Linked DNA regions of Solanum lycopersicum. The protein of the gene in region 3 interacts with the protein of the main gene of each other region in a pairwise test. Links are inferred from orthologs where the notes say so. Each region holds a gene or a part of one and is shown on either strand. Other genes may lie near its edges. The genes, in order: scarecrow-like protein 23, transcription factor HEC3 and transcription factor BEE 1-like.

Region 1 (3,654 bases), on a different chromosome or scaffold from region 3:
TTCCAAAAATAATTATTTCATTCTCAATTTATGTGACATTTTCAGATTTCAAGATTTGAATAAGTCTAGCTTTTAATGTTTTGAATTATTATTTATTATGACTTATAATAATTATTCTGTAGTTTATAAATATATAAATTCATTTTTAAAAATTTGAAAATTTATACGTAAAATTTTGATTAAATTTAAACTATTTGACTATCAAAAAATAAAAAGTTTCGCATAAATTGAAAAAATGTTTTTGCTCTCAATCTCTCCAACAGAGTGAACTACACACTCTATAGCATTTAGAGAGTGAATAACTCCATTTTAAAATAGCCTAGAAGGTAATGTAACTCCGTGACATATGAGTATCCAATTGAAAATCTGACTATAAATTGAAAGATTTTAGAGCATTTTCTCAAAGTTATTTTGGTCGAACTTTTAGTTTTTAGCCATCATAAAATATATCTTTAATTTAAAATATTTTTTAAGGAAATGTAAGGTCTAATAGAGAGGATGTAACAGACAAAATAGAATCTTCCACCACAATTATTTAGTAAAGAAAAGGACAAGAATTCTTTAATCCAATGCAATTACTATTTTTCTTAAAAGAACAAAATTTTCAAGAATGATAAACACAAATACATATGTGTAGGGGCCTCCTCAGAATTAGGACCAGAGTGAACAAAGAGCACTTTCACTTATTAGTATGTCCAATTTGTTATGGTATTTGTAACATCATCCAAAACTTACAAATTGAAACAACAACCAAAAAATGGGCTATCTTAATCGCAAGGTTGCCATGCAGATGCAGTCAACAACGATAAATCCTTCCATCCCAATTTTAAACACCCATTTTCTTCCACCAACGTATACCCTCTCGGAAACATCCCTAATAATAAACTTGCTTGAGCAGCTGGAGTACCCGATAATGAAACGGGTAAAAACCCGATTCGTTTCAATTCATCGCCCCATCTCTCTACGGGTACTTCCCCCGTCCTCTTGGGCCCACCTACCGCTACAATATTCCTAATTTCGCTACCGAACAACTGCTGTTCCACTCTATGCCTCTCTGCACTCTCTTCACTCAATCCATCCCCCAATGCATCAAACAAGGCGGAGTAATAATGCAATGCCTCAACGAATCGGCTCAAAAAGTTTCCTCCGTGACTCAGATCTTGTTCAACCAGTGTGATCAATTTCGGCCTTAACAAAGTTAACAATCGGAAAGTACCTAAATCACTCCCTGTGATATTGTAGAGGCAATGGTGCATCCAATTGACAACGGTAGTTTCCCCAATTTTGACTCCGAGTTGATTCAGGTCTGTGATGTGTCCGATTTTGCCTTCAAAAGGTTGAAACTCGAACGGAAGTCCGAATGAGTTGGCGAATTCGGTGAGTCGACGGCCGGTGGATTCGAGTAATTCCATGGAGGATCCGACGCCGGTGATTCTGATGGAACGGAGCTTTCTCGATCGAGAGGAGAGGATTTGGAACAATCCTGGCCATTGAAGACCTTGCATGATGTCGAGATCGATGACGTGGACGTGATCTTCACCTTCTAATGCTTGGTAGATAGCTTGATTTGCAGTGTAGTGAGAGAATTTGATGAGCGGACTTATTGTGTTGTAAGATTGCAGAGCGGTGAAGAGTTTTTGGGAATGCGTGAGAGTTAGGGATTTGAGGTTAAGCGGAGAATAAAATCGGAGATGAGAACTGATAATTCTGGCCGATAGAGATTCAGCGAAGTAAGCAGCGACTCGCTCAGCTGATGAGCCGAACGGCGAAGAAAGCTCAGCGATTTCCGGCAATAAATCAGCAGCTTCATCGAGATTCTCCATGGCAACAAACTCAGCGCATTGAAGGAGCAAGCCGAGAAGGCGAAGACCTATGGAATCGGCGTCAACGAGAAGTAACTCCTCACCTTCTTCTTCCTCTTCCTCTCCCCTTTCATTTCGGGGCCGTTTAGTAAGAAGTTGAGGTTCATCTGAGACCGGAGTAAACTCAGAAATTGAGCGCTTAGAAGACATGGAAGATGAATACGAAGATGTATGATTAATTGGAATTGCAGATACGAAAAGCATGATCATTCATCACATCACATGGCAAAGAATGTAGAATAAAAAAATGAGTGGTGAGGATAATTGAAAGGGGGATTTGTGAAAAAAAAGGGTGATGACTTTTTGGAATTATTCATCTTTTGTAGGACACATTGAAGTGAGGTTTTTGTATTTTTGTGTTTGAATTTTTCCTCAATCATAAAAATACTATACTCCTATTAATAATACTAGTACTACCATTATTATAATCCCTCATTCATCGTTATAAATATATTCACATCTCTTCCAAGGGAAAAAACATAGTTTCCTTGGAAATAAATGTTCTCCCTCTTGATTATTAGGTGTTTTAAATAAATTTACTTTTTTTTTTGGGTTAATTTTAGAGTAATATTTAACCTTAATATAGGAAATTCAAGAAACAAAAAAATGTTAGCGAATCGGTTTATATTTACTCAAAAACATAGAAGAATTCATAATAGAATTTCGAGTGAAGCAATTTTATCAAATTTAAAGGAGGCATCACATATTTGAAAACTAGTTGTACAATCAGTCAATTTCAAACAACTTTTTTTTTTCATCAACTATTTGAAATTTATGATGACGAATGCTTTAGGTTATCAAATTTATATCAATTTATACTGAATTGTCCCCAAATAACATTTTTTAAACAAATCAGAGCTAATTCAAATTGCTCAATTGTAAAAGATCTGCTACCGAATGAATAAAATAGTGAATTAGAGATGGACTGAGTAACTTAAGTTTGAACCGTGCTAAGCTACTTCTAAATTCATTTTTTTATTTTATGTTAAGGGATTTATGTTTTTGATATATAAAAAACAATTTTAGTTTATTTTCTAATATATTTTTCTCATAAAGGAATTCAATTGAATTATGACCTTTAGGATCATATAACTCTGCCACAATGTGGACAAGTCATGAACCCCACATGATGAATAATAATCTCCTGTATTTTTTATTTTTTGAATTATGAATTTACAAACATATTAAGAAAACATTAATTTAGATAGTGAATTCATCTTACCCATATTAATAGATAAAATCTCAAATATATTATCCACTACACTTTTCAAAAATATTAAGTCTATGTAAACAAGTAAAATTATCTTTTTATTTTTTTAAAAAAAAAGATACTAAATTAGAAAATATTTAATAAATAAATCGTAAGAATGAAGTGTAAAGTTGCTGAAAATTTTGTAAAGAAATGCTTGTAGTAGCTTGTCACGTCTGTTTCGATACTCCATTTTGCAAACAAATATAATACAGTAGTTATCATGTTACTCCAAGTAGCTTCAATGCCCCACGTTGCTTTGTCACTATTATTTTACCCAAAGGGAAAAAGTATGGCAAGCTTGATCTAGTACAATATCTTGGGATTCTCGAAGATTTGTTTGGGAAAATATTGGGGAATCCAGAGAGTATCTTGGATAGACAAAAAATAAATAATTTATGAATTAAAGATATTAGCATATATTAGTGATATATATTAGCACATAAAACAAAAGTTACATAAAATTACAAAAAATAAGTTTAGGGGTAATAGGATCTTAGTTTAGTTAAGATATGTCTATGAAATTTTAGTCATAGTCTAGGG
Region 2 (3,193 bases), on a different chromosome or scaffold from region 3:
TATTCAAAAGATATCTACAAGTAATTTTCCATAAAAACGAGATTTGAAATCTTTCATAAAATATAATTTTCTTTACACTTTTGGTGTGTAATATATAAATTAAACTCAATATACATATACATAATACAAATTGTACAAACATGCGCACACGAGCACAAACAAGTGCGTGAGATTATACCAGCAAGAGTAGTTGTGGAGTAGTAAGTACTCCTTTATCTTTAATCAGAGGTCTCGAGTTCAAGTCCTTCTGAATACAGAGTCACCTTTATTAGGAAACACTAAATCCTAATATGAAATTTTCCAACGCTAATCTAAATTTAACCAGACCCCCAGATACCAAATTGAAAATCGAAAAAATAAATAAATGTGTGTGAGGTGGGCCAAAGAGTATAATCATATTCAATTTCTTCTCACGTCACTGTTTTATTCCCGGGAGAGAATTCAGCCAAACGAACTTTTTGATGATCAGAAAAAATAAATAGATAAAAACCATATTCTATAATTATTAATATACTAGTATATACCAACATACGTAACTCAACTCTAACCGTTGTGATGATTATCATGCCCTTTAAGTCAACACAATCCTAACAAACCTATTTTTTTTAGTTCACAATTCACATGATCCACTATACACAAATAATTAATTATTCCTCTATATATAATATTTTTATTCTTAAAAATTCCAATTACTACACAATAATAATAATAATAATAATAATAATAATAATAATATGACCTAACTAATTACCAATTACCTCATAAGGTGGATCCAATGTAGTGTTACCAACAAAAGTTGTAACATTATTGGTTGTAGTACTACTAGAGGAGCCAAGAATCAGACCTTTTGTACTTGGTGTGACAATATTATTTGCCCAATTTTCATTATTAGGGCATGACGATACTGGTATCTGTGCTGGTGGGAGGTTATGATTCGATGATTGTAATTGACGGATTTGTCTTTTTAAGAACTTAACATAGCGAATTGCTTCGTCTAACATGGATGCAGTGTCCATTTTTGTTCCACCAGGGACTAATCTTTGCAAGATTCTGATTTTTTCACTTATCCTTTCGCGGCGTAGCCTGGCTGCTACGCTTTGTGGATCATTGCTTATACGTACGTTACGCCTTTTAGGTTTTCGTATAGTGGATGGATCAATGTCTACTGGTTGCATAGATGCAATTTTGAACATCATTTCTTTCATGGCTCCTAGCTCTTCTTCTTCCTCTTCATCTTCGTCTTGATCATCGTGTTCTTGATCCTCTATTAGGGTTTGAACATGGTTGTTTAACACATGATCAAAAGGGACAACTACTACTTCTTCTTGTTGTTGTTGTTGTTGTTGGGTTGAGGAGGAGGGAAGGTGATGGTGTTGAGGGTTTTGAAGAGGAAAACTAGGCCAAATAGGGTTATGTTCGAAATGAAATTGTTGTTGATGATGATGATGTTCGTGGTAGATATGGTCGTTTGGTATACTGGACAAGCATGGTTGTTGTTGTTGTTGTTGATCGCGAAAGACTTGTTGGTTGTCCATATTGGACATGGTTGGATCCCAAGTGGAGGTAGTGAGTTTATTAATGTGGTTGATATCCATGGTAAGAAGAGTATAAAGGGTGAATATATCAAGAAAGAAGAAGAAGAAGAATATCTATTGTGTTTTTTTTGTGTCATTATGAAAATATTTTTCTCATATTTATTGAAACCCTTTAACCAAAAATTGTAATTAAAAAGAAAAAGAAAAAAAAGAGGGGTGCAAAAAGGGAGGTGACTTATTGCAAAGTTGAATCAAAGCTCATGAATATGTACTTTGTGTGAAGCCTTTGAAGGCTAAATAGTACATCTTCGTAGGGTAGTGAAAAGGTGTAAGTTATATACATTATGACATACACAATTCGTACATATATATTTACATGTATATATGTCAATATATAGAGGGACAAATGGAAGAAGGGGGTGGGGGTGTTACAAACTTTATTGAGTCTCTAATAAAAGTAAAATGCGGAGCCGAGATTTAGAATTTGTTAAGTTGAGATTGTAGTAATCATTTTTAAGTTACTAGTCTAACAACAACAACAACATGCTCAGTCGTTTGAGTTGTTGATCTAACAACAACTATTATAAAATTGTAAAAATAAATATATGATATGAATCAAAGTATCGTAAACTATACTCCAGCTCCGAGCTAAAATAATAATTATTGTGGGAGGGGGACCACAAGATCAAGTTATTTTCAAAAATAAATAGATAAACAAAAAGAAGTTTCTATTTTTGTGAGGGTTGTGGGTTGGGGGGGAGTGTGTTTCAAAGGCCATAAATGTCCTACTTTTGCTATATTGGTATACAAGTGCATTTAGTAGAGACTTGTTGCCTTTGCTTCATCCCTAGAATTTATCTATTTGTTTTGCTTAATTTGCTAGCCATCAAAATCAATTGATAAATTCTTCATGACTTGGGTGTGATCTAGAGGTTAATACCGCATGAAAATATTAGAAAATAATTTCAGATTTTTATTGATTTTTATAGGATTCCTATTGAATTGAGACTCGTGTCATTATATAGGAAGTATTCAGATTTGTATTTATCATTTTTTTCTGGAAAGATTTATTATTCTTTGTTGTTCCTAATTGTTAAATTATGATTTCATTCTTTTGTATGATTATTTCAAATCATTATAATTATACTTATATGCAATATACTATATAGTCACACAATTATTTTCTATTAGTTTGTGATATTTGTGAGTTGGTGAAATCATGAGATAGAATACACGTAGATTTTTGTTAATTTTATGTAGATACTTCTCAAATGAGAATCGTTCCATTTTTGTATTTACATCTATGACGATCTATCATATTAATCTTCAATGTCAATTCTATATATATATTATCCCTACTAATATGTTATGCTATAATATTTATTCTCATTGATTACTACATCAAATCTCTTTAATTATAAACTCATATACATTATCATATAGTCACATAAATATATACAATTTTTCTATATGCGAATCATTCATCATGCGAACATTTCCCTCAAATTAACATTGGTGGATCTAGAATCATCAATTTGCCTACTAGAAACTGATAATGTGTTGACCCGTGAATTTTACAAGTACAACAACTATTTGAAGATCTTCGAAAATGTGCGAAAGAGCAATAAATATTTTATCTATAGTTTTTCTTATATAAT
Region 3 (4,113 bases):
AATTATGACAAAATTATTTAGTCAATGTACTTTGTTAGTAGATTTGATTTATTCACTAAAAACGGAATATACATGTTAAGATAATATACATTGCATTCGGTTTTGCTTTTAGAAAATAATAATTTTTATTATTTTTCAATTTAACCTTGTTTGTCTTTAAAAATTTGGAAGAAAAAGCTTTGGAAAAGGTCAAGTGTATCACTAGTATTTATGCGGGGATAATGTAATAATAATGTCATAATTATGAATGATGAAAAAAAATCCTGCAATGCATAAATTACTCAAAACGATGCTTGAGTAAAATTAGGCTTAAAAAAATGTCTGTTTGGTTGTATTATGAGACTTGATACATGGATATGTGTCCAATTTTTCATGTGTACAAAAATTACAAATGTATAATACTACTGAACAGAAAAGGAAAAATAGTTGAATGAATCTTTAGGTGTTGTAAGACAACTTGGGATAGCAGCCAAAAGTGCGGTCAATTAAAGGGCCAACTTGATTAGAACCCATCCCTTCACATCCTTCTTTCTTTAGCTTCTGCATCATGTTTGCTTCATATGCCTTTGCTCTCTGCAAGTCGAAAAATATCGATCTATACAATCAAATCACTTATAAGATAAATTACAAGTTAATCTCTACACAAGTATGATCTAACAAAATCGAAATTAAAACTATGTAAATTTGGAGTACCTGCATTGTCTCCAAAATGTCTGTCTCTGAATTGAAGTCATAATATGTGCTAGCTGCAGATAGCTTCATTGAGAGGAACTAAATCCAACAAATACAACAAGTCATTTTGTGTGTGTGTTTTGGTCAATCAGAAAACAAGTTGTGTTGGATCATTTAAACTCACCTCAACTTGATTTTGTAAAGATTGCACATAGTTAATTATTTCATCCAGCATTACTGCCATGCCCATAGACTGAAATTAGATTGAAATTTGAATGTTATTATGTTAAACTCAATGTTTTTTTTAGTGTTAGGTACTCCCATTGGACCTAGTGGTGGAGCCAGGAACTTCACGAAGAGTGTCAAAAAAAAAGGAGAAAAAATGTTGTTAGTGAGATTCAAACACGTGAGCATTTAGGGCTCTTTAAAGGCATCTAAAATCACTGGGCTAAAATACCTTATTTTTTCAAGGGTGTCCAAAATTTGTCATTTAATCACTTCGTGTATCATATTACTTATAAATACGGTATTATTTTCCGGCGAAGGGTATCTAATTGGACGCCTTCACTATAGGGTAGCTACGCCCTTGATTGGAGCCCGACTATATCTGGATTCATACCGTGTAGGGCTCCATTAGGAGGAAGTTCTCCCTACCAAAAATAGACTCAAATCCGAGACATCTTGTTAAGGTAGGAGTAGCCACATCCACAACACCACATCCTAAACTTCAATTTGACATTGTAATGTAAAAAGAAACATTACCTTGTAGCATCCTGGAACAATATCTTGTAAACACCTAAGTCTTTCATTAATTTTTCCTCTTCTAACCTAAATTACAAAAAAAGAAATACATTAGTCAATTTTTAGTACATATGTGAAAAAACAGGATATACTAAAAGGGAGAGGAAATTACCCTTTCTGCTAAACTGTGACTATCAGTTGCTTGGCCTCTCTTGGCTCTTACATGCACTACTTGCCTTAGTTTCTCTTCTTCATTTTCATCCCTTTTTACTCTCTTTCCTCTTCCTTTGCCCTGTAAATTGTAATGTCAAAAATATGTACATATTAAGTGTGGAAAAGTTACATGGTTCAAAGAGAATTTAACTAAATTATACTCTATAAAATAAGATACTATAATAGTACATAAGAATTCTTGAATCCTTTTGTTTATTTGTTTGGTTTGTTGCTGGTTAATGTATTAATTATTCTATCTTCTGCTCTATAGAACATAGTAGATAAATTTTTTTCATAAGTTATACTTCATGTGTTTCATATTACTTGACTCATATTGACCTGATAGAAATCTTTAATTAAAAATGTATTTTAAAAATTAAACTTATTAATAATGTTTTGAAACTCTAAATTTGATTACTATTATTTTATGTAGTTATTTAATAATAAAGCTATCTTGATTTGCTCAAAGTACAAGTAAAATAAAATATTTATTTTTGATATAAGATCAAGTAAAATGAAACGGATTAAGTGCTCAGGATTTTACACATGTTATAACCAAACACTCTATAGCAACTAAAATGCTACCAAACATGGTACAAGTTTGATACCGACTCTAATGCATGAATAATTCACCTCCTAACGAGTAGCGAACCAATCCCTTACTACATAGAAAATAGAAAGAGTTGAAGATTAACTTACGGTTTTTCTTCTCGAAGAAACTGCAGGGGATGAGTAAGCAGAGCTACTTTCTGGGGTTTCAATTGTTTTCCTTTTCTTGCTTTCATTTATATCATTTCTAGTTGGTACTGGAAGGTTGAACATATCTTGTTGGAAATTTTCTGTTAAATATACAGGGAAGTCAGAGGTTTGGTTCAAAATATGTTCATCAGAGTGCTTATGAAAATTGAAATTAGACATTTCCAGTGAAATGGTATTCAAGTAATTTTGTTCTGGAAATTGGTTATGAAAATTCAAATTTGTGTCAGTGTTAAATACAGAGGATGGTGGAATAATGATTTGCATATCTGGATTGAAATAATGATGAGCCATGACAACTTCTTGTATATTATAAAAAATAATATATGTTGATGTTAATTGTATGTTTTTTTTATGTTAAGAGAAGTAGTGTCTGTCAAATATATTTATAGAGCATGGGCAAAATGTGAGTTTTTTCAAATTTGTTTTTTTTTAAAAAAAAAAAAAATTAAGAATGCAGTAGTGAAGCATTTTGAGGGATCCAGCCAATTGGAGGTTTGGGATTCTGTCCCCATATGGACCATATTCAGGATATGTACACAATTTCATGGGACCCTGCAGTAGAAGTTGGCTTTAAATGAGCTAAATTATCATATTTCATTTGTTTTAAAAAAAAATAATTTATTTTAATTTGGCATAAAGTTTAAGATAATAAAAAAAAATTATTTGTTTTTGTGATCCTATAGTTATGTCAAATTTATCAAAATGTTATTTAACCTTATAGTTTTTGGTGCGCTCATGAAATTTTTAATTTTCAATCAAATAAATAGTGCTTTGACTATCACCTTTTAGAGTTGATTCCAGCTGAACCAAATTCAATTTTGCCACCAAACCTTTCAACCAAACAACTTCTTTAACTTCCTCTATCACTGTCATATATTATGCCTCTATTGTAGATAAAGTGACTATCGACCGTAAAATCGATTTTTAATTAACGACAATGCCAAAAAGAGTAAAGATGTATTCAATTGTGAACCTCCTTCTATCAAGATTCCCTGCATAGTTAGAATTTACATAACTGAGAGCCAAAATACTTTCACTTTTTTGAAAGATCAAGCCAATATCAAAAGCTCTTGTGAGATATCTCAATATGTACTTGACAACTTTTCAATACTTTTTTCGTGTGTTTGTCATGTACTTGCTTACCACACTTCTAGATTGAAAAATATCTAGACTTGGGCATACCATAGCATACGTAATGCTCCCAATTGCGCTAGCACAAGGAACTTTTGATATGTGCTCCACCCCATTCACAGACTAAGACATTGGTAACTATGAAAGCTTGAAATGATCAGAAGTTAATAATATACTTATGGGCTTGTTCATATATGCATAGTGAATCTCTTAAGAACCTTTTTTCAATGTACCTCTTTGGAGAAAGATGTAATATACCGTCTTCTTTTGAAATTTTCATTTCAAGGATTTTCTTTGCAGCTTCAAATCTTTCATGTCAAATTTCTTGCTCAATAGCTTCTTCAAAATAAGATTTGTCATCTCTGGATTTTTCATATTTTATTTTTTGTGAACTAGCTCTGATACCAATTTTGGGTGGAAGCGGAATTTAAGAGTGAGAGAGAGAGTTGTCAAGGAAAAAGGACCAGGGATGATTTTATTATGAGGGAGAACCCTCTATTTATACAAGAAATTCTTAACAACTTGGCCAAATGGCCGACACAACTTTATATTTTACTTTACACCTGACCTTATTATATTCGGTCTACACAAGAAAAC

The links.
Region 1: the proteins of transcription factor BEE 1-like (region 3) and scarecrow-like protein 23 interact in binary tests that used the Arabidopsis thaliana proteins (3 or more experiments, as listed by UniProt). The link is inferred for Solanum lycopersicum from reciprocal best matches to the Arabidopsis thaliana genes BEE1 and AT5G41920.
Region 2: the proteins of transcription factor BEE 1-like (region 3) and transcription factor HEC3 interact in binary tests that used the Arabidopsis thaliana proteins (3 or more experiments, as listed by UniProt). The link is inferred for Solanum lycopersicum from reciprocal best matches to the Arabidopsis thaliana genes BEE1 and HEC3.

The regions. Positions count from the first base shown.
Region 1 is NC_090806.1:59,132,811-59,136,464, forward strand, and holds scarecrow-like protein 23, read right to left. Parts: upstream 2,365-3,654; 5' UTR 2,073-2,364; coding exon 768-2,072; 3' UTR 558-767; downstream 1-557. UniProt on the Arabidopsis thaliana protein: Probable transcription factor involved in plant development.
Region 2 is NC_090810.1:1,211,154-1,214,346, reverse strand, and holds transcription factor HEC3, read right to left. Parts: upstream 1,730-3,193; 5' UTR 1,596-1,729; coding exon 744-1,595; 3' UTR 633-743; downstream 1-632. UniProt on the Arabidopsis thaliana protein: Required for the female reproductive tract development and fertility.
Region 3 is NC_090811.1:47,740,930-47,745,042, reverse strand, and holds transcription factor BEE 1-like, read right to left. Parts: upstream 2,889-4,113; 5' UTR 2,677-2,888; coding exon 2,326-2,676; intron 1,706-2,325; coding exon 1,586-1,705; intron 1,501-1,585; coding exon 1,435-1,500; intron 926-1,434; coding exon 857-925; intron 772-856; coding exon 694-771; intron 574-693; coding exon 439-573; 3' UTR 304-438; downstream 1-303. UniProt on the Arabidopsis thaliana protein: Positive regulator of brassinosteroid signaling.